Pelodiscus sinensis: one gene and its partners. Each later gene encodes a partner of the first gene's protein in a complex. Links are inferred from orthologs where the notes say so. Each region holds a gene or a part of one and is shown in the gene's direction. Other genes may lie near its edges. The genes, in order: prelamin-A/C, ZMPSTE24 and BANF1.

Evidence for each region.
Region 2: the proteins of prelamin-A/C (region 1) and ZMPSTE24 are in contact, whole or in part, in a crystal structure (PDB 2YPT), measured with the Homo sapiens proteins. The link is inferred for Pelodiscus sinensis from reciprocal best matches to the Homo sapiens genes LMNA and ZMPSTE24. Residues at the interface, in NP_001393912.1 of Homo sapiens: Cys661, Ser662, Ile663, Met664; in NP_005848.2 of Homo sapiens: Ser264, Asn265, Ala266, Tyr267, Phe268, Val332, His335, His339, Glu415, Leu438, Asn439, Asn442, His459, Arg465.
Region 3: the proteins of prelamin-A/C (region 1) and BANF1 are in contact, whole or in part, in a crystal structure (PDB 6GHD), measured with the Homo sapiens proteins. The link is inferred for Pelodiscus sinensis from reciprocal best matches to the Homo sapiens genes LMNA and BANF1. Residues at the interface, in NP_001393912.1 of Homo sapiens: Ser431, Gln432, His433, Ala434, Arg435, Met540, Lys542; in NP_001137457.1 of Homo sapiens: Val11, Ala12, Glu13, Pro14, Glu83, Asp86, Ala87, Phe88.

What each region holds. Positions count from the first base shown.
Region 1 is NC_134734.1:16,695,230-16,702,220, reverse strand, and holds the start of prelamin-A/C, read left to right. Parts: upstream 1-3,967; 5' UTR 3,968-3,985; intron 3,986-6,991.
Region 2 is NC_134735.1:23,629,951-23,637,566, reverse strand, and holds the start of ZMPSTE24 (CAAX prenyl protease 1 homolog), read left to right. Parts: upstream 1-4,576; 5' UTR 4,577-4,647; coding exon 4,648-4,767; intron 4,768-7,616. UniProt on the Homo sapiens protein: Transmembrane metalloprotease whose catalytic activity is critical for processing lamin A/LMNA on the inner nuclear membrane and clearing clogged translocons on the endoplasmic reticulum.
Region 3 is NC_134721.1:33,018,402-33,026,338, reverse strand, and holds the start of BANF1 (barrier-to-autointegration factor), read left to right. Parts: upstream 1-4,880; 5' UTR 4,881-4,895; coding exon 4,896-4,899; intron 4,900-5,044; exon of another isoform or gene 5,045-5,189; intron 5,190-7,937. Other genes in the region: putative RNA-binding protein EIF1AD, read right to left, coding at 38-91, 1,129-1,237, 1,598-1,706, 2,608-2,694. UniProt on the Homo sapiens protein: Non-specific DNA-binding protein that plays key roles in mitotic nuclear reassembly, chromatin organization, DNA damage response, gene expression and intrinsic immunity against foreign DNA.

The sequences.
Region 1 (6,991 bases):
AATTTTATGTCTTGAAATAATCCAGAGTCATTGAACATACTGGAACAAATGTGACTATTTCAAAGTGGTCTATTGGACATCTTGGTGGGGTCATTGTTTACCCTTGTTTCTAGGGTAATCACTTGAGAACTTCACATCATACCTCCTTTTAGAAGACATGCGTTCAAATTATGTATCTCGTGTACGTGTATTTGAAAGCTTGTGATGCAGAGTGTGTGTGTGTGTAAGTACAGAGGAAGCATTAAGTTGACCAAACCGGTACTGTCTGCTACTCATAGATGTGTAGCTACATTAACGAGGATTCCAATGGAAGTTACCTAATGCTTGAAAAGTCTAAGCCATTTATCGAAGGGAGAGAATTGTTTGAAAGCATTTTGTTCCAGGCAGATCAAGCCAGCAGTTACAGCATGCAGCTTCCTGGGAAATTCCCCTGCCCCACTTTCTATCAGGAGCAGGGCTGGGATGTGTCCCCAGAGCTCCCCCCTCTCTCATTTACAACCGGCCAAGGGGCCAACACAATGGATATATTTCATGGGCTAGTCACAGCGGCAGCAGACTCTCCAATTTCAGAGCTTATTGCTGATCATTGGGGAAATGGAAAGCAAATGGGCCTGATGTGTCTCGGATGTCAGTGGGGAGTGGGGCAATTAGCAAAACAGGTTTAACTGCTGGGAGAGCCCAGAACATACGAGTTACCATTCTGTTAGACTTGGGGTCTGCCTGCCTAGCCCAATATCCTGGACCTCGGCAGCAGAAGGTGTAAGAACCCCTTCGCCTCTGGGGTGACATGGCCTGAGGGGAGGCTTCCTCTTGACCCCACCTGTTAGAGGAAGGGATGTAAAATCCTGGTTAAAAAGTTAGCTGGTTAAACTTAATGTTTTAATGGGTTCACCGTGATCGTGCGCCAGGGGCTACTCTAGCCTGGCCAGGGCTTCTGCAGCCTGAGCAAGCCCACGGAATCATGGGCTGCTCCAGCCAGGCCAGGCTCAGCCGGAGCAGCCCCCCACCAGTTAATTGTTTACCCTGGTAAGCATGCCAGTAAGGGTCATGCTTACCCAGTAACCAGTTAACCCTTTACATCCCTAGTTAGAGGTTGGTTTATGCCCTGACGCAGCAAGATTTTCAACCCTTCTCTAATTCTTTGTATCTCCCAGTCATTTACGCCAGTGCATTTCACACTCACTTTGCACTAATGTCAGTGACCGTGCAAGACTCTGGGCAAGGTAGAATCAGGCCCTGAGTTGAGTCCAGCCGGGGATGAATCTAAATGTTCTTATTATCCAGATAAATGTCTGATTCCTTCCAATGTTCCCTTCCATCTTTTTCAGCCACGTGCAGACTTTTTCCATCCAGGTGTGGTATAAATATTATGTGCACCGAGGCCATGTGCACCACCACTATAATAAAAAACCCAGATGTGGGAGCTCTGCTAATCAGCTGGGCAGCATTTGAATCTCTCCTGAGTAGCCACACAAATGCCCAGCTTACATGGAACACCAATCCCTTCTGATTCCTGCTACTCTCTGGCCTTCAAAGGCTCTGAGGGTGGGCAGCGGCCACCCTGCCCCTATGCTCCCGTTTGGATGTGCCATTCTGCCCCAGCATGCACATCCCTGCACCAGATGAGCCGATCTCTGGCTGCTGCTGCTGCTAAATATGTTCCTATTTGCCATTATTTCTATTTTTAACCAATTATTAATTATTTGGGTCATTATTATTTAATTAATCATTTTAGTTAGTGTTTGCTGTTTCTGTATGTGATTCCATCACAACGTAAGGATGACGGTAAATTTTCAGACACATAAAACAGACAAGCTCCCTGCTCCCCAAAAATGCCGACCGGTTGGGTGTGAACTGGCCCTTTCAGAATGCTGGGGCTCCGCTGTGTCCATGCGAAACCTCAGATACAGGCAGGGGTGGCCTGTGACTATAGGCCAACCTGGCCATCACCTAGGGCACTGCCTTCAATGGGGCGCCCAGGGCGCCCGATGATGATGTCACAGGGCGTCCGGGCGTCCGATGATGACGTCACTCCATTGACGGCCATGCAGGCGGGGTCGCCGATCGTGTGTTCCACCTGGGGCGCCAGCTACCGCAGCCCACCTCGGGCTGCTCATGGATACAGGGGGAGGAAAAGATGCCAGCTAAGGGCAAAGGGCCAGACATTGGCCTGTCACAGACACCCATTGCTGTACCATCTGGGCATGTCCAAAGCTCATGGGGTCCACTCTGGGATCTGCAGGACGGGGGAGCAATCAGCTGACAAAATCCTGTGCCTTTGTATCAGCTTCTCTTTCCCCACACACATGCACACCCGTGGATAACTTTGCTACATTTCATCCATGTTTCCAGAACATGCTGCAACGGTACTGGGGCTGTTGGGAGCAGGGAGGGCTCAGACTAGTGGGGAACCCCTCCCGAAAGTTTTAGCATGGGACATTTGGAAGGTGATTTTGTTTTAGTTTCAGTAGGGGTGTAAAATAACATTTAAAAAGTTAACCGGTTAAACATTACATTTACTCAGCTAACCAGCTGACCCAATAAGCATGCTGGTTAGGATGATGCTTACCAGGTAACCGGTTAACCTTTTACATCCCTCGTTTCAGGATTTTGTGCATTCACCATAAAACAGTGTGGTCTAAGGTTCAACACAAGGTGACTTTGGGGTTCTGTTGTCTCATGCAAGCACTGCTGGAATACTGTGTCCACTTCTGGTGTCCAGAATTCGGGAAGAGTGCTGATAAATTGGCGCGGGGTCAGAGAAGAGCCACGAGAACGATTAAAGGAATAGAAAATAGGCTTCATGGTGATAGACACAAAAAGCTCAGCCTAAGCGAGGGGGTTAAGGGGTGACTTGCTCACAGTCTGCAAGTATCTATGTGGGGAACAAATATTTAATAACAGAGGAAGATCTAACACGATCCAATGGCTGGAAGTGGAAACTAGATAAATTCAGAGTGGAAATAAGGTGTAATTTTGTAATGGTGAGAACAATGATCCGTTGGAACAATTTATCCAGGGTCATGGTAGATTCTCCATTGTTGAAAAATTGAGATGGGATGGTTTTTTCCCAAAAGATTTGCTTTAGAAATTATTTTGGGGAAGTTCTGGAGCCTATGTTATCCAGGAGGTCAGACCAGATGGTTATATTGGGTCCCTTCTGGCCTTGGAATCTACGAATCATTTCCGGCCTACTCCAGAGCAGTGGGAAGTAGTGGCTAGAACATGAGGCATAGGGGTTGGGGGCTCTTTGTTCTATTTTTGGCCCTGGTGTGGAAACCATGGTCTATTGATTAGAGCAGTCAAGGGGGAGTCAGGACTCCTTGGATCTATGCCTTGTTCTGCTTCTAACTCTGCTTTGTGCCTTTGTTTACCCATCTCTGAAGTGGAGATAATCATACCTAGCAGGATAGTTTGTAGTGTAGGGAGAGAGTCTTTTGGTTTGGTGTTCATAAGCATCTTGTGCTATGGGATCCTGATCCATAAGTGGAGTGCTGTGGTGCTACTGTAACAGAAATAATTCATAATAAAAAATAACAGTAAAAAAGTGCAATGTCTATCCTGGAACACAAGCCGCTGCTGTTCGCTATGTTCTTGTTCATAATTAGTATGGGAGCCTTCCAAGCTTTTTAACGGAGTGTTTCTGTCTCCCTTCTATTTTCTGCTCTGTTGCAAAAGGGGAAGGCAGATCCCAGGAGCAAATGCTCAGCAATTTGGAGCATCCAGCAATTCCTGGGACCCACGATGGTGCTTGACGCTGATACAAAGATTTTCAGCGAGATGGTGCGAAGATACCCATCGTGTCCTGGTTGCTCTCATGCAGAGAGAACTCAGATCCTCCTGCTTCTGTTGGATGGGGGCCAGACAGACACCCAGCAGCTGCCGAGACCATGGGGGTCTGCACTGAGACAGAGCATCAGCTGTTGGTAGAAGAGTTCATGCCAGCTCCGTGGTCCCAGATGGTGGTACAAGTTCTGTATCGCAGGTAGGCTCACAGCAGGGCTGGGGGAGGGATGCTTTGTATGAGGGAGGGTGTTGGAAATGGAGCTGTTTTGTGCAAGGCAGTTTGGGTGGAACTGGGCATAAAACCCAGGCCCCTGCTCAAACGACCGCTGAACCCCCATCCCAGAGCTGGGAATAGAACCCAGGAGTCCTGACTCCCGCTTGCCTTGCACATGAGATTAGGATCAGTAGGTCTCTTTATGTCTCCGATTCTGCAATTTACATTTATTCCTATTTAGAACCTGATGTCCCATGGGGCCTGATTCTCCATTGTTCTGAACTTGGCATAACCATTTACACCAGTGCAAAGTGAGTGTAAAATGCTGAGACCAGTGAGTCTAGGAAAGACACATTCGGCCTGGGATGTGAATTCAAGACAGCTCAATACAGCGACTGGGAAGGAGCAGTGGAGAGGCTGGATGGGGCCATAGCTAGCAAAGGAGCAGAGAAAACCAATACAGGGCTGGAAAGGACCCGAGTAGGTGATCTAGTCGAGTCCCCTGCACTGAGGCAGAACTAAATACTGTCTAGACCAAGGGTGGGCAATAACTTTTCATGGGTGGGGGGGCATCCCAAGATTTTGGTAAGTGGTCGAGAACCACATTTTTCTATGCAGGGGATGCAGGTCTGGGATGAAGGCTGAGTGTAGAAAGGACCATGCATGACTCTGTATGGCATGCCATTGGTGGGGGGGAGGGGCTTCGTCACTCGCTTGCCTCCACAAGCATGGCTTCCAGCCAATGGGAGCTGCAAGGATTGTGCTGGGGGCGGGAGCAGCATGCAGAGCCTCTCTCCCCCTCTCCCATGTGGCATGTGCTGTGCAGAGACGCACAGGCTGGCCCCAGCAGCTGGCTGCTTTGAGCCACAGGTGGGGCGCGGCCGGCAGGGAGCCTGCCTCAGACTCTCCCTGGGCTGTTGGACATTGATAGCCCAGAGGACTGTGATGGATCAGATCCAAAGCTTTTGCCCGCTGCTGATTTAAACCATGTCTGGCTGATGTTTGTCTAACATGCTCTAAAAAGCCTCCACAGCCTCAGTAGGCATGTGTTCTAGTGCCTAACTATCCTGCCACGGGAAGGTTTTCCTAATGTCCAATCAAAACCTCTCATGCTTGCGATTTAGGTCCATTGCTTCTTGTCCTATCCTCAGTGGATAAAAGAACAATTGATCACTCTCTGATTGGTTTTGTTGCTCTTCTCTGGACCTTCTCCTGTTTGTCCACATCTTTCCTGAAATGTAGTGCCCAGAACTGGGCACAAGACTCCAGTTAAGGCCTTATGAATGCTGAGTAGAGGGAAAAATTACTTCTCATGTCTTGCTTGCAACATGCCTACTAATGCATCCCAGAATGGTGTTTGGGGATTTGGGGTTTTTTTGGTAGCAGCGTTCCATTGTTGATTCGTATTTAGTTTGTGATCCGCTATAATCCCGAGACCCTGGTCTGCAGTACCGCTTCCTTGGCAGTCACTTCCCATGTGATATTTGAGCAATTGATTATTCCTTGCTAAGTGTAGTACTTTGCTTTTGTCCTTCTTGAATTTCATCCTTCCCCCTCAATGCAAATGTAGCATATTGTAGATTCTTGAACTTCTTTAATTTGGCAATCCTGGGAAACAGGGTCTGCCGGATTAAAGATGTTGCCGGGCCAGGGAGGTAGGGTTGCCAGGTGTCCGGTTTTCGCCTGGACAGTCTGGTAATTGCGTCTTCTGTCCTGTAAAACCTCCCAGAAAATACCTGTATTTTCTGTTTCTCAGATGGAAGACTGGTGGGGACATTTTTCCCTTGCTGTGTCTGGGCAGGGGTGGGTGGAACGAGAAGCACAGGAATTTAAAGGCGCAGCAACCTTTTTTTTTTTTTTTTTTCCTTTCTTGTTGTTGAACCAATTTTTGTCCCGCCATGTTCTGGATTTTTTGTGCAAGTATCTGGCAACCCTACAGGGAGGACATGGTGGGTTCTGGGTATGAGTTGGTGCACTTACCCAGTGCCCTGCTCCCAGGGGCACAAGTGGATCTGTGCTCCTGCTACTCCCAGGCCTCGGGAGCATGCTGCATGCTGGTGGGGATCGGCCTCCTTCTCCGTACCACGGATTAGGGATACCCGGAGTAAGGAGGTGCAGGTGCATTATTACATAGTTATTACTAGTGTCCTGTACCTATCCAGTTCCTTTTCACCCCAGGGTTTAGGGTGACAGGGGTTGTGGGCCACCTTAAGGGATTAAGGTGCATGAAGCTCGCTGGCTGAGCTTTTAAAGGAGACTCAGTGGTGTGAGACACCTCGGTGGGGGGTGCAGAGCATTAGATACAAGCAGCAAAGGGGAACTTGAACAGCTGATCATGCCACCCAGTCCTGGGCAGTGGGGGTGGGAAAGGAAACCAGCCCCCTCCCCCCGCCACCCTAGGATCATTAAAACAAAACCTTTGCATGGTGGATTACTCACAAACAAGGTGTGGCACTAATTGGCACCTTGGCCTGGTGCTGAGGGGACCATGGAGAATAGCTCCTCGCATGCGCCCGCCTGGAGGGGGTCCCTCTGGGGCAGGAGTGAGACAGGCTGGCGGGGTGACATGCTGGCAGAAGCAGCTTCCCGGGTTGCGTGCCTGCTGGGTGTGAAAGCAGCTATTCCTGTCGGGGGAGGAGAGAGTCAGTGTGGCACCAAGAGCTGACAGTATATTCATGGGGCAAGTGCACAAGACAGGAACAAGAGCGGGTGCAGGCTGGTACATGCATCAGGATGCCAAAAGCAGCCAGTGCCATCACTCATTGATTGGGGCGGAGTCTCCTTTACACCGAGACCCCTCTGCACCATCCTAGAACCACACAAGGGTCTCAATTACACGTCCACCCGCTTCTCACCAGGGCAGTGTGGTGCAAAGGGGCCGTATTCATAGCATTTATGGCCAGAAAGGCCACCCCCGTGAGTAGGACACGGCATTACATTTCACCCTGTTATCGAGCACTCCAACTCAGGGGAAGAATCTCTTCCAGACAG
Region 2 (7,616 bases), on another chromosome or scaffold:
GCCCAGCCAGAGCTTGCTTCCTGAGTTCCTGTCCCACCCCTGAATAATTCTATCGACTATATGATTAGTCGATAGGACCACGCTGCAGGGATAGCTCCAGAATCCTGCTCGATCTGGGACTGTGCAGTCCTGGCTCATGCTGGCTCCAGGAGCCAACCGCCCTGTGGCTCTGCATTTTAAACCTCTCATATAGGCAGCAGGGATCAGAGAGCACAGGGCTTTTGTACATTTCAAAGGCTGAAGTGGGAACCAGTGCAAGCAGGAACTGCTTCAATCCCCATTCATGCTGTTTCCCCACTCCCCCCCCCCCCCCCCAGAGATGGTGCTTCCGCCTTTGCTGCTTCTCTCTCTGATAGAGGCAGCAAGGGGGGGGGAGAGTGACTAGTTTAGTCACTACTCGACTATCCGATAAGCTTATGCTTATCAGGTAGTCAACTAGTTGCTTATATCCATAACCCAACCATCTGCCCCAGACATGAGTCACCCTGCACCCAAACTCCTTCCCAGAGTTTGGACCTTGAATTCCCTCATGGACCCCAATGTTTCACCATGGGCTAAGCCCGGAGCTCCTCCCATGCTCCAAACCCCTTGACCCAAGACCAGAGCCAGCAGCCCAACCCTCTACCCCAGCCTGGTGAAAGTGAGTGGGGATGGGGAAGGAAGGGGAATGGAATGAGCAGGGGTGAGGCCTCAGAGAAGGAGTGGGAAGGAAGTGGGGCAAGGGTATTTGGGTTTGAGGTAGATCTTACATTGCACATACAGGCAGTCCCTGGGTTACGTGGATCCAACTTACGTCGGATCCCTACTTACGAACGGGGCTTTTCTCACCGCGGAGGACGCGGGTGGCAGGACCGCCGAGATGCACCGCGGTCCCGCCGCCCGCGTCCTCCGCGTCGAGAAAAGCCACTCCGCGTCTCCCTGGTCTGCTGGGGGAACCCCCCCCAGCAGACCAGGGAGACGCAGAGCAAAGCCACGGAGGATGCGGGCAGCGGGACCGCGGCGCGTCTCGGTGGTCCCGCTGCCCGCATCTCCCTAGTCTGCTGGGGGGGGCGCAGCTAGTGCGCCCCCCTCCCCTGCCCTCCCAGCAGACCAGGCTTTTCTCGCCGCTGGTCAGTTTCAGCAGTGGCTGAATCAGGACGCCTGGGGTAGAGCAGCTGGGGTGCTGCCGGGTTGGTCCCGCCGCGCCAAGGGTCGGCGCTACCAGACCAACCCAGCAGCACTCCAGTTGCTCTGCCCCAGGCATGTCCGATTCAGCCGCTGCTGGTCAGTTTCAACAGCGGTTGAATGTGGACGCCTGGGACAGAGCAGCTGGGGCGCTGCTGGGTTGGTCCCCGCAGCCCTGCACCTCGGTGCTGCGGGGACCAACCTGGCAGCACCCCAGCTGCTCTACCCCAGATATCCCCAAATCAGCTGCTACTGAAACTGATCAGCGGCTGATTCCAGGAAGCCCGGGGCAAAGCAGCTCTGCCTTGGGCTTCCTGTAGTTAGCCGCTGGTCAGTTTCAGCAGCGGCTGAATCGGGGACACCCGGGGTACAATATGTACCACTTCCGACTTACATAGAAATTCAACTTAAGAACAAACCCACAGTCCCTATCTTGTACGTAACCCGGGGACTGCCTGTATATTGAAAACGTGATCTTGTGGTTAAAAAGGTTGGCGACCACTGGTGTACACAAACTCATTCCCTTACCTCTCAAACTGCAAAGTTTCAAAATGCTAAATGAATAGTAGATGGTTGAGGTGGAATAGACCTGGAGAAGGAAAAGTATGGAGATAAACATGAGAAGGGAGGGATAGGCGTAGAAACAAACGTGTAATGGTTTGAGCAGCAGGTTCCAGAAGTCTTGAGGTCTTTCTGAATGTAGTTTTTATTGATATAAGATCTATCATACCATCTCTTACTAGAAGGGAAAAACCCAATAATGGCAGCGGGCCATAAGAGACCCAATTTGGGAATATTTTAATGAAATTCCTCAACCTGTGGGTAAGACAGGCCATGCATACATGCAAAATGCAAACACTGCAACAAAGATATGCAAGGACTGATTGCCTGAACGAAACATCATGAGAAGTGTTCCTTCTCAGGAGGATGCTGTGTTGAAGATGATGAAAGGAACATGTCTGAACATGAAGGATCTTGAGGTTGGTAAATTTTTATTTCATACTTCTTTCTTAAGGTCTGCCTTGTCTTCCTTTTGGACTATTCTTGAATTCTCATGTTTGAGCAAAAAAGTTGTTACTCTATGGTACTATCATTATTGATGCAGTTGTGCTAAAAAAAATAGATAAAATAAGCAAATTTTCCCTTTACCATTTCACTTTAAAGCAGTACCATCTAGGGATGTTAAGGACTAGTCTACGCCCTCTCTTGCTGCCTCTATCAGATAGAGGCAGCAAGGGGAGGGAAGACAGGGGTACTTCAAAGCAGCAGCACTGCACAGAGCCCGGGATCCCAGGCACCATGGGGTGCTGCCACTATGAAACGCAGTGGCGGGTTTCAAAGGAACAGTGCCACCCTATCAACTAATCAAATAGTCAATATAAAAATTCGACTATTCGATTAGTGAATTACACGATCCTTAACATCCTTAGTACGATCGTCAATTAATGCAAGGAGTAATACTAAATGAGCAAAACTTAAACAACGAACAATCTAGTAACACTTTAAAGACTAACAAAACATATAGATGGTATCATGAGCTTTCATAGGCACAAACCACTTCTTCAGATGACTGGAGTATTAAAAGTCCAGATCCAAGAATAAACAAGGGAAGGTGGAGTGGGGGGGGGGAGGTGGAGGGAGAGAGAGAAAAATAGTGAATTAGATTGTTCAAGTTACAAGAGGCTGATAAGAACAATTTGCACCTCTATAAGTACCCATTGTTTGTTCTTGTTGGTTAAGTCATTAAGTCATGGAAGATACTGTGTGAGCCAGCCAATATCTTTATTCATTCCTCTCTGATAGGAATCAAACTTGTAAATGAAGTTAACCATTCCCTGGTATTTGGCTTGTGGAATTGGCCTGAAACAACATGGTGACTTTGAGATCCATTAATGAGTGCCCAGACAGGTTAAAGTGTTCACACGTTTCTGTGTGTTGCCTTTTCAGATATCTGATTTGTGTCCATGGTAATAATTAAATAACTGCATTAACTTATCTTTTTATGAGAATCCATCCTCAACATACAGGATTCTCAAGACTATCCATTTTCAAGATCATCATTTTCGATAGTTTCAGAGTTATCTGCCAATGCTAGTCTTTCCATCACTAGCAAAAGGGGGGGATTACATCATCCAGAAACAACTGTAACCCCTTTTTCCTCCCTGGGTTACTTGGGAGCAGGTCACATTCACATGTGCCTGGGCGCCTGATGTTTTTAACAAAAAAGGAGATCCTGAGTAGCCTAGTACTTGCTGGGTTGAGGATTCTCTATCCACCCCATTTTGTTGCAGTCCCTTACTTCTAAAGGAATATTCAATGGCAGTGCTTCCATCTGGCTGGCCCTGTACACATTTAATGGTGTGCCTTAGGAGCCTCCAGAAATAAAATTATCCCAGTAATAATCTAGCTCTAACTCCAAAATAGCAATTATAAATAATATAAAACTAATTGATTAAATTAGAATTAACACACCTATACTTAACAATTTAAAGAAATGGGATTTAACAGATTAAAAGTGAATAAAATCAATTAATAAAGTATCATAGAATCATGGAGCTGGAAGAGCTCTCAGGAGGTCGTCAAGTCCAGCCCCCTGCCCAAAGCAGGACCAATCCCAACTAAATCAACCCGGCCGGGGTTTTGAGACTTAAAAACCTCTAGGGATGGAGATTCCACCACCTGCCTAGGGAACCCAGCCCAGCGCTTCCCCACCCGCCTAGGGAAATAGTTTTGCCTAATATCCAGCCTAGATCTCCCCCACTGTAACTTGAGCCCATTGCTCCTTGTTCTGCCCCCACTGAGACCAGCCTCTCCCCATCCCGTTGGGAACCCCCCTGCAGGGAGCTGCAGGCTGCTCTCAAATCCCCCCTCGCGCTTCGCGTCTGCGGACTGAACAGACCCAAGTGCCTCGGCCTCTCCCGCGGGCCGGGCGCTCCAGTGTCCGGTAACTGCTCCTGGCACAGCAGGGCCAGAAAATCCTCCCGCTCCTCACAATTACCCTATTGGCCCAGTGACGTCATGAACATCTGCCGCAACGTCCGTTAGGAAATGCAGCAGCCGGTCGCGCGTTCTCTGAGGTAAAACTAACCTGCACGGCGCGCGCTGCCAAGCCGAGCCCCGGCTCTGCCGCGGAACGGGGCACGCGCCCCGCAGGGCCCGGCCTGCAGCCCCTCCCCGGTGTCGCTGCAAATCTCTTAGCGCGCAGGGACAGGTCGAGAGCGACACGGCCTGTGACATCACCGAGCCGGAAGGGCGAGGGTTGCTGGGACGCCGCGCCGCATCCCGCCGGATTTCCAGTGGCGCCAAACCGGAAGCGGGAAGGGAGGTTTTGCTACGGCGCCGGAAGCCGAAGAGCGCGTTTTCCCGTGACGCTTGGCCGGAAGTCGGAGGGCGGGTTACGCCCTGACACCGGGCCGGAAACGGGGGGGCGGGTTTGCTGGGACGCCGGGCCGGAAGCTGCCTCGCGCACGAGGGCCCTGCGCCATGGCGGTGTTGCTGGGGGCGCTCTGGGCCGGGCTGCCCGTGGAGAAGCGGATCTTCTGCTCCGTGCTGCTCTTCTCCTGGGCTGTGTACCTGTGGGAGGCCTTCCTGGCGCGGCGGCAGGTCGGAACTCGGCGGCGGGGCGGGGCCTTTCTGGAGGGGCCTGCAGGGCTCCCCGCGGGGGCGCGCGGACCATTGGCGAGCGCCCGAAGAACGTTTAAAATGGGCCTTGACCGTTAGCCGCGCCCCGACTCCCGCGGGCCACACGGACACGTGGCCAGTAAAAGGGGTCATGGGGCCCCTTCCCCCAGGGCTTCCCCACCATCCTCTTACCAATAGGGATTAGTTCATCCCCCACCAAAACCCTCTGTGCAACTGTCCTGCAATTGCATTAACCCAGTGTGTGTTGGGGGGGAGTGTTCCCTCCAAGGGTTTCCTCCCCGAGCAGAATGAATGTTGTGTTGGGCACCAGTACTGAGTTCAGGTGGCTTGTTTGGATGTGCCACTGTGGCACCCAAGTTATTAATAAATGTCTTATAAACCTCGACCTTTTCCCTCTGCTACCATGTCTCCTCCCCTTCCTCCATCAGCTCCCCTGGTGCCTGCTGCTCCCAACATAAGAATGGCCGTACTGGGTCAGACCAAGTTCTTTCAGCCTTTCCCTCATAAATTGTGTTTTCTAGACATTTAATCATTTTTGTTGCTCTTTGCTGGACTTCCTAAGAACATAAGAACGGCCGTACTGGGTCAGACCAAAGGTCCTTCTAGCCCAGTATCCTGTCTGCTGACTGGCCAGCACCAGGTGCCCCAGAGAGGGTGGACCAAAGACAATGATCAAGCGATTTGTCTCGTGCCAGCCCTCTCCAGCCTCTGACAAACAGAGGCCAGGGACACCATTTCTATCCCCCAGCTAATAGCCTTTTATGGACCTAACCTCCAAGAAATTATCTAGCTTCTCTTTAAACTCTGTTATAGTTCTAGCCTTCACAGCCTCCTCTGGCAAGGAGTTCCACAGGTTGACTACACGCTGTGTGAAGAAGAACTTTCTTTTATTAGTTTTAAAACTGCTACCCATTAATTTGGTGTCCTCTGGTTCTTCTATTATGGGAACTAATAAATAACTTTTCTTTATTCACCCTTACCACACCACTCATGATTTTATAGACCTCTATCATATCCCCCCTCCGACTCCTCTTTTCTAAGCTGAAAAGTCCCAGTCTCTTTAGCCTCTCCTCATATGGGACCCATTCCAAACACCTAATCATTTTAGTTGCTCTTTTCTGAACCCTTTCAGAAATATCTTTTTTGAGGTCAGGAGACCACATCTGTACACAGTATTCAAGATGTGGGCGTAGCAGAGTTTTATACAGGGGCAGTAAGATATTTTGTGTCTCATTTTCTATCCCTTTCTTAATAATTCCTAACATCCTATTTGCCTTTTTGACCGCCACTGCACACTGTGTGGAAGTTTTCAGAGAACTGTCCACAATAATGCCAAGATCTCTTTCCTGATTTTCGTAGCGAAATTAGCCCCCATCACCTTCCTCTGCTGTCCTGACTCCTGCCCTTCTCACTGCCCTCAGCCTTCTTGAGACCTGCCCCCCTCCACCAGCCCTTCTCCTCCCCCCATGCCCACTCCGATCATGTGAGCTACCCCTCCTCATCCCTTCTCCTAACACCTCCCTCTACACACCTGCCCTGCCTCTCTCTTCTGGTGCTGGTCCCTCCCCTGCAGGTGTCTGCCCTTCTGCTTCACCCCCAGAATCCCCTGGCACCTGCACCTTCCCTTACCCCTTCACCCTCCTGGTGCCTCCCCCTTCCCTCACTGCCCCTACCCCTTTTTCCCTGATGTCCCCCCTTCCCCTCTCTGGAGTCCTCCCCCCCATTTGGGGGTGATCCCTGGGGGCTGCTGATGGGTTCTGTGGCTTCCATGAGTAACCCCTGCTGCTGGGGCCACTGAGACCTGTCACAAGAGAGGCCCAGGGTGTTCTCCAGCTGGCTCATGCACACTGCCACAGAGGGGTGCCCCGGGAAGGTTTGTGACAGGAAGAATTGGATTCCTGGCCAGACCTTGCTATGTGTGGCCAAGCAGACTGACCTCAGGGAAGCGCAGTCAGGGGCTCTGGCCCCAACTCCACCACTGGCCGCAGGGGGATGGCGCATGGTTCTGCCTCACGTTGTGCCTCAGTTTCCTGCCTGCCAAATGCTGCTGCACTCCATGATGCAGGGCTCCAGCAAGGGCGAGGGTCTCGCCTGGCGGTGCCTCCACTGTAGGGAGCTCACAGCACTCTGACCCTTTAAGCACGGCTGCATTGCCTGGCTCTGACCCCTCGCTGCCAGCGCCATGCGTACACTCGTGCATGGAGCCCCAACCTGGCTGGGCTCCAGGCAAGACGCACTTTCATTGTGGCTCCCTCCATTGCCTCCCAGGTAGGATTGCCGGGTGTCCGGTATTCTACCAGACAGTCCAGTTTTTGGGCCCTCTGGTAAAAAATTCCAGAAAATACCGGACATGTGCAATGTCCAGTATTTTCTGGTTTTCCAGCTGGGTGCCAGACGGAAGGATGGTGGGGCCACGGGGAATGGCTGGGAGGTGGGGCACGATCGGTGCTAGGAGCCTCTGGTTGAGTTTGGTGCCTTGGGGAGGGGAAGCCCTGTCCCTGCTCTTGAGCGCGTTGTAGAGCCGCAGCTGGACTCACGCTTCGCCAGGACTGTGCGCAGGACTGATGGCACCCCGGCATCTGCATGTGCCTGGGTCAGTCCCACTCCCTGCTGGCCGATTTGCCCCCCCCTCCCCCCCCCGACTCCTTCCCGGCCACCCCTGCTTCCTGCCAGCCGGTTCTCCTCATCCCGATCTCCCCCGGCCAGCCGCGCAGCCCCCAACCCCCCATCTCCTCCAGCCAGCTGCCCTCCCACCCCATCTCACCGGGCCAGCCACACTGCCCCCAGACTCCCGCCCGGCAGCCCCGCCC
Region 3 (7,937 bases), on another chromosome or scaffold:
GACTGTTTTGTAGCAGTTCCACTCCTTTCATACTCACCTCGCCTCAGAGCTGGGCTGACTTTCTGCAGTGTCAGAGGAGAAGGCCTCAGGCCTGTGGGGAGGAGAAAGACATGAGATGAGAGAGCAGCCCTGGCTTTGAGGCAATAGCTTAGGGAATGGGACACTTTCCCCTCTAGGGAGGGTTTTAGGGAATAAAATATGGGGCCTTTCCTCTTCACTCCAGCCCCTGCCCAGGGCATGTGACTATTTCAGCCAGCACAGACCTTTTTCCACCAAAACCCAAACTCATGGGAAAACCTCCTATGACAGTGTTTTCCAAGCTTCTCAGTTAAACTAGAACCTGAGACATGTTTTCAGCCATATTTTCAAAAGTTTTTTAGGAAGAAAAACTCCCTCTATTCTGTCCCTGCCTCCCTCCTAGTAAGGGTTGTAAATCAAGTGAGCAGAAGGTGCTGGGATCATGTGTAATCTAAGTCCTGTGTAACAGGCTCCAGGATGCCCTGAATTAATTCCTTTTCAAACTAGATTAAATCTTTCCAAACTGCATTTAAAAACTGCCAGCATGGTAGAATCCACCTGAGCCACTGCTCAGTTCCAGTGAATCCTCTGCCTTCCAGTATGACTGTTTAATTTCGGTTGCCAGTTGCCTTGTTTGATGTTTGTCTGCTAGATTGTAGAGCCTGTTGTCAAATTTCTGTTCCCATGGCAGGTGGGGATAGCCTGGGATCAAGTTACCCCCTAAGCTAAGGTTGAGTTCTGTCACCGGTCCTCTTTTTCTTGTGGCTCTTCTCTGACCTCTCTAATTTATCAAAATGTTCCTTGAATTGGGGCCCCATGGTTCCAGCAACAGTCATACCAGCCCCCAACTGAATACCAACAGCATCAAAGCACAGGTTTCCCTGCTAGAGATTTACTGCCCCATTTGCACCATGGAGCTACCCTCCTCCCCAAGCTGACTGCTTTGCATCTATTCCTACAGCTCATGTGTGATGGAAATCTCAGCTTCAGGAAGGACACTCAAGCCAATGCCAATCCTCACTAACACTTTCTCCAGCACCTTGGTGGCAGGCAAGAGCAGGGACTTTAGGAGCTTGTAGTTCAGCATCCTCCCCCATGTCCGACTCTTACCAGAGCCCTTCTTTCTTTAGGTATCGCATGTGGTCCTTGTATAACACAAAGTTGATCTCAGCCTTCACTTTCTCACCCTCTTCAATAGGGTCCACCAGCAGAAAGTCCCCTGCAATGATAGAGACACAGTGTGTCGGTGGGAAGGAGGGTTGGCTGATTTTTAGGAGATGGAGAATGTGGTACTGGGCCTCTTCCCTCTAGGAGGGTGCTAGATCTCAGCTAGCCCCGGGGTAGGGGGAACTCATGGATAGCAGCGGTGGATTTAGGGCAGAGCAAGTGGGGCGGCTGCCTTGGGCTCCGCGCATGCGCCATGTCAAAGGGGGGGCCCCCGTGAAATTGTGCTGCCCGCGGTGCACTCATCCACCCCTGGTGGATAGTAGTACTCCTACTCTAAATGGTGTTCAGGGGAGGGGGCATATGGGGCCTTTCCCCTCTAGGGGTGCCATGAACCTAGTTGCACTGTACTCACCTCGTTTGATCCAGATGTTCTTGCGGAACTTTGTGGGCATGCTCACTAAGAATCTGGTTCCCTCGGCCGTTTCTACCTCATGGAGGTTGTTTCCTGGGGTCCCTAGGACCTGGAGGGAGGAACAAATTGATAGGAAGGGGGATTAACCACAGAAACTGCTTCCTGGAGAAATGGATTCTCCAGCACTTAGCACCTACAGATCAGAGCCTGCCTCAAAGTGACACTCTAGCTCAACCACCAGAGATGGGCTGGATGCAGGATTGGCAGGGAGGAGTATTCCACAATCTGACTTACATGGGAGGTCAGATTCGATGATCAGGCTGATCACCTTCTGGCTTTGAAATCTACTACCCATGTATGGCTTTTAGATGGCTCACACTCCACCTGTTCTGCCTTGCTCATGCCACTAGCAGCTCTGCAGCAAGCCAATGGGGAACTCCTGATGCATGAGCTTGGAGTGCACTCATCTGCAAGGAGCATGAACAGGTTTTCCTCCCTAAGGCTAGGTCTACACCATAGCTTTTTTTTTTTCCGGGAAAAAGCTACACAAATTGTACTCCGCAATTTGTGTCGCTTTTTCCAATTGGTTTTCCAGAAGAGGCTTTTCCACCATCTGGCCCAGTCAAGAAGGGGCCAAATGGCGGAAAAGCGGCCTCTTTCAGAGGAGACCTTATTCCTTCTAGAACGAGATATACAGGACTCCCCAAAAGAGTGCATTTGGTCTTCTGCAAAAAAAGTGGAAGAGCAACTGCGTTCCCTGGACACGGCAGAGTTTTTCCAGGGTATCCTGGAAAACCCCTGCAGTCAAGATGTACCCTAATACGCAACTAAACAGATGTATTCAGGGATTTTCTTGCCTTCTGCTGAAGCTCAGAGCGTGAGGGGTGGGATGGCAAGAATAGCTTAGGTGAGACATATCCAGATGCTTCCCAGCAACCCAAACCTCATGCTGCAGAGGAAAGTGAAAAGTCCCAGTGGAGCCCAGCAAAGAGGGCTACTTCCTTCCTCACCCGGACAATCTGCTGTTGAGGAGATGGAACCACATACTCCTCCAACACTTCTTTCACCACATGCTTGCGTTTGGTTGCTTGGGACATCCTGGTGAGTTAGCCCTCAGGAACAGGATCCTCACAGGGCAGGTGAAGTGGTGAATAGCTGGAAGGCACACTTGCTCTGGAAGGCTAGCCGAAGAGAAGGAACAGAGGGAGAAGAGCCTTGTTGCATCTCCCCAAGATCAAATAAGCTTCTAAAGGCAAAAAGTCCCCCCAGTGAGCAGGGTCCTGGAGTAGGAGCCAGGATAGCTGGGTTCTGTTGCATGCTCTGCTGCTGTCTTTGGTCCAGTCCTTTTGCCACTCACTCCATTTTCCCATACATACCACTTGGCTACATCTAGACTGGCCCCTTCTTCGGAAGAGGCATGCTAATTTCGAACTTTGGAAGTAGGAATAAGAGATCCTCCGGAATAGGGCTTTATTCCGGAGGATTGCGCCAGTCTGGACGCTCTTTTCCAGCTTTTCCCCAACCCGGAAAAAAAAGCGGCGGCCATGTTTATTTAAATCCCCCGCAGATTTCCCTATTCCAAAGTTCGAAATTAGCATGCCTCTTCGGAAGAAGGGGCCAGTCTAGACGTAGCCCTTCTGTCTAGATGGAGTACAAGCTGTGTGGGGCAGGGACTACCTCCAAGAGTCTGTGTACCCCCTGGCATGATGGCATCAGTCTGTACAGTACCCAATACCATGTGCACACAGAGTACCTGTCAGCCCCCTTACTGAGATCAGGGTCTCACTGTGTCAGGCGTTGCATGGACACACACTAAGACAGTCCATGCCCTAAGAAGCTCACTGTCTAAACAAACAAATGGCTGAAGGAGAAAATGAGGCAGAATAGAACCCAAGGATCTCTGGATCCCAGGCCAGTGCCTTGCTCATTAGACCATACTTCCTAGTCATCAAGAACAACCCCTTGTTATCAGGTTTATTAGAGATTCCCCATTTGTCTTATCTACTCCACTTAAAATGGGGGCATAGATTTCTCTCAGAGGAAGCCAGGAGTACCAGTACCTGTGTGGAGGATAAAGAGAGGCTGTCCGTCTCTGACAGCTGAGGATCCAGCGCTGAATTCACTCTTGGAGGCATTCACTGGCACTGGATACTCTAGGAACAAAGACAATTTTATGGCTTGTGGAAATGGACTGAGACTCCCTTACCCAGGGAATGAGGTAGCTTCAAGATTCCTCTATTCTGCTGGAAATTTTCAGGCCAAACTCCACACATTGTCTCCCACAGTAAGAATTCCACTGAAAATTTTTTAGCTGTGAATCTGAAAGTGTTTTAACACAAGGAGGTAAGGATTGTCAATAAGGAACTGATGCAGGGAGAGGAGAAGGGACCACACAGGCAAACAGTGGGAGGTGAAACTGAGGAACAGACACATTATAACAGAATAACATTCAGGCAATTCTACTGATGATTTGCATGAGAAAGTTAATTCTTTAGGGCTGCATTAACTTCCCAGGTAAAATCTCATCTACATCACAGAATGAAACAAAGATCCTATAGGAGATCATGGAAACAAAAAAAAGAGATTGATCCAATGTCACTTTGTGCCTTAACCCTGTTATGGCTTCCTTGCAACTGGAGACAGATGTGTTGGGGTCGAGTAAATCTGTCAGCTCCGTGACTCAGTTTCCTCATATAAGAAGATGCCAGTCCGTGCTGAGACTCACTGCAGTCCTGCCCTACGCTTCAAGCCCCCAGGCCTCTCCCAGAGCTACAATGGAACCCAGGGGTCGGGCTCCGCTCCCCCAGGGTGGGATTAATCCCATTGGATTCTCCACCTCCCCGCCCAGCTGTGACGGCCAGATCCCCTCTCGGGCTAGTCCATGTCGCCGTGCTGGGGGCAGGGAGCGCCTTGCCCTGCACGCCCCCGGGAGTTCCCTGTTCCGCTCATTGGCCGGGGGAGAAAACTGCCGCTGCTCCTAGGGGCTGGACTGGGGGGGGGGGGGTGAGGGGCTGCCGCCTCCCGTCCCTACCTCTCTGCACATGGGACGGAGTCACCCGCTTCCGGCTCCAAGTCCTGAACCTCCCCCAAACCTTTCAGCGTAAACTTCCGGGTGTTCCGGGCGCTTCCTGTCTCACTTCCGGGAGCCCCTCCCCCCACCATGATGTCCCCTGATGCTCTCCTTGGGCTCCCGAGGCAGCCCCGCGGGCAGGGCTATTATTATGGGATGGAGGGGTTGTCGCGGACCACAGGCAGCGTCAGAGGCTGCCTCGCGCCGTCGGTTACTGTGACCGGGAGGATGAGTTGGTATCACAGAGTTTTCAGTTGCCTAGAGTGTAGATGCTGAACTCTATCATCCAAAGGTGGCTGGAGCGGCCCAGAGCCGTTGGGAATCATAGAGCAGATGTGGATCGCTCCTGGCTGGGACTAGAGCATTATAGAGCGCCGCCTACTCTCTATGGTTATATGGGGCGCGAAGAGGAGCGCGTGCTGGCGTGGCCTGGAAGCGGAAGTGGTGTTTGCGCAGGCGCAGTGGGTGGCCGGTTGGGCGGGAGCGGCGGTGTTTGAGGCGCTGCAGCAGCGAGCGGAGCTGGTGGGTCGCTGCGGTGTCGGACGCGGGCCTCGGGCAGGATGAAGGCGGCTGAGGGCGGGAACGGGCCAGTGGGGGAACCTGAGGCGTGGGGGAAGGAGCAGTTCGGGGAGCGCTCAGGGGCCTCTGGGGAGGGCGGGCGGTAGCTGGGCATGTGTCTGCGAGGGCGCGGCCGGGGGGGGCGGAGAGGAGCGCGGGGAAGGGCTGGGTATATCCTGGTGTGATTTAGGGTGGGATGAATTGGGGAGAAGAGGGGGGAGGGAGGTTGGCTGAGGATGCCCGAGGAAGGGATTGGAGTGTTCGGGGGGGGGGCTTCTGCAAGGATGGTTCCTAGTGGGAGGTCTGGCCTTACCCATAGGGAGGGGAGATCTCTAGGAGGTGGGGCTGGGGATATGGGCCTGGGGAAGTTGTTAGCTAGTGCTGGTAGTAATCATTACTTAACTCTGCTCGTTAGTAGCTCTCAAGAGGTGTAAAGGTGAGTTAGTATTGTCCATTTTAGCGATTGGGAAGCTGAGGTCAGCTGCTGGAGCTGGGAATAGAACCCAAGTCTTTTTGAGTTTAGTTCACTGCTCTATCTGCTGGGCTACATTGTGGGGAAAGGAAAAGTAGAGTGGAAGCCTGAAACTAGGGTGTGTGGGGTTTTTTTTTTTTTTTTTGGTAAAGGATAGTGCTCAGGTTGTTGGGCAGGTGTGATGAGTTAGGACTTCTGGTGATAAGAGAGGGATTGGTGGTATATAGCTGGTGTGTCTGGGAATGCTGGGAGTACCTGTAGTGATGAGTGGTACCTCTTGGGGGTTGGAAATTGTCTGACAAAGATTGGGATGGGAACAAGGTAGTGGAAGGTGTTGCTGAATGTGTGGAAAGAAGGTCTGGGAGGTAGGCAGTTGGGTTGAGTGCTAGGACACGGGAAGGGAGGGTGAGGATATGTATAAAGGAAGCTTTATCTGGTGAAGACGTGCCAAGTGCAGGATCTAAAAGGGCTGAGGATGCCTGGAAAAAAGGCGTCTTTTGGGAGGGATGGAGAGAATGGCTGCAGAGTCTGTGCAAGGGGTTTGTTGGTATTTGGATGTAAGGCTAGGGCTGAGGGTGCACATGGAAGGAATGAAATCATCACTGAGACTGGATGTTCTGCAGAAAGTAGGGAATTCAGGGGTCTTTGTTGGGGGTGTCACAGATCCATGGGCTCGATGCTCTTTACTGCTCTGGGCCCTTTTAGGTCCCTTTAGGACCTCACATACTCACTGGTGTAAGCCCCTTGACTTTGCTGCCTCTTGGAACTAGACCTCAGAGCAGTCAGCAATCCTGCTGAACCTTTGAGCTCCCCTCCAGTGAGTCCACTTGAATTGGATGCCTGAGGAAGACTTGTACACCCAGAGTGAGCAAGGCAGCTCTGACTCCATGACCCCAGAAGCAACTCGGTGTAGTAGAAACGAAAGGATTTGATAGAGGCAGCAAGGGAAGGGGGAAGCGACTAGTCGATGATCCGATAAGCATTTGCTTATCGGATCGTCGACTAGTCCTTAACATCCCTAATTCATGTATGGAATCATTTTTATGTGCATCAAGGAAGTAAGAAACACAAACCTAGCAATGGGCTTTCTGCTAATCAGTTGCGCCCGCACAAGCTTCCAGTTTACAGGGAGCACCAGTAGCAGAATGTATTTGTCAAGAACATACAGAGTCAAATTAAACTACTAGTTTCTTCTGAGAGTGTAACAATCCTTGTGGATTGAGGATAAGCAGTAGATGTGGTGTATCTTGACTTCAGTCGGACTTTTGATATATTTCACATGACATTTTCATAAACTAGAGAATTACAATTTGGATAGCGCTACTACAAAGTGGGTGCGTAGTTGACTGGAAAACTGGAAATTTGTAGGCCATACCAATCTGGGGGGCATTGCCAGTGCTTTGGAAGATAGGATTAAAATTCAAAATGATCTAGATAAACTGGAGGAATAGTCTGAAGTAAATAGTATGTAATTCAATATGGATAAATATAAAGTACTCCACTTAGGAAAGAACAGTTAATTGCATGCATGCGAGGGATGTATAATCAGCATTAATCAGTTAACCTAATGTTTAACTGGTTAACTTAATGTTTAACCAGTTAAATAAGCAGCGTCTCAGGTTGGAGACTATTCCAGCCCAGCTGGAGCAGCCCCCAGCCCAAGGAGCTCCTGTTCCCACACCAGGCCAAGCTAGGGATGTAAGTGACTAGTCAAGTACTATTGGATAGTCAATTGACCACTTGACTACTTGCTTCCTATATCAGAGGCATCAAGTTGGGGAGGAAGCCATCTTAAAAGCAAGTTCCCCCCAGCACAGTCTCCGTGGTGTGTGTGAGGGGGGGGCAGGGGGTGGAGGTAGATCCACAGCAGTCCTGGAGCCAGCACGAGCTGGGACTGCTCAGTCCTGGCTCTCACTGGCTCTGAGAATTACCCCCGCTGCAGCTCTGCAGTTTAAATGTAGTAGCAGCTGCCAGGCTGCCTGCATTCCTGGCTCTTACTATATTTAAACTGCAGAGCCACAGCAGGGTTAGCTCCGGGACCTGGTGTGAGCCGTGACTGACTGCCTCCCCTTATCGACTAATCGTGTAGTCAGTACAAATTGTATCAACTATTGGATAAATATAGTTAATTGCATGCATGCGAGGGATGTATAATCACCATTAATCAGTTAACCTAATGTTTAACTGGTTAACTTAATGTTTAACCAGTTAAATAAGCAACTATCGGTTACCCACTTCTT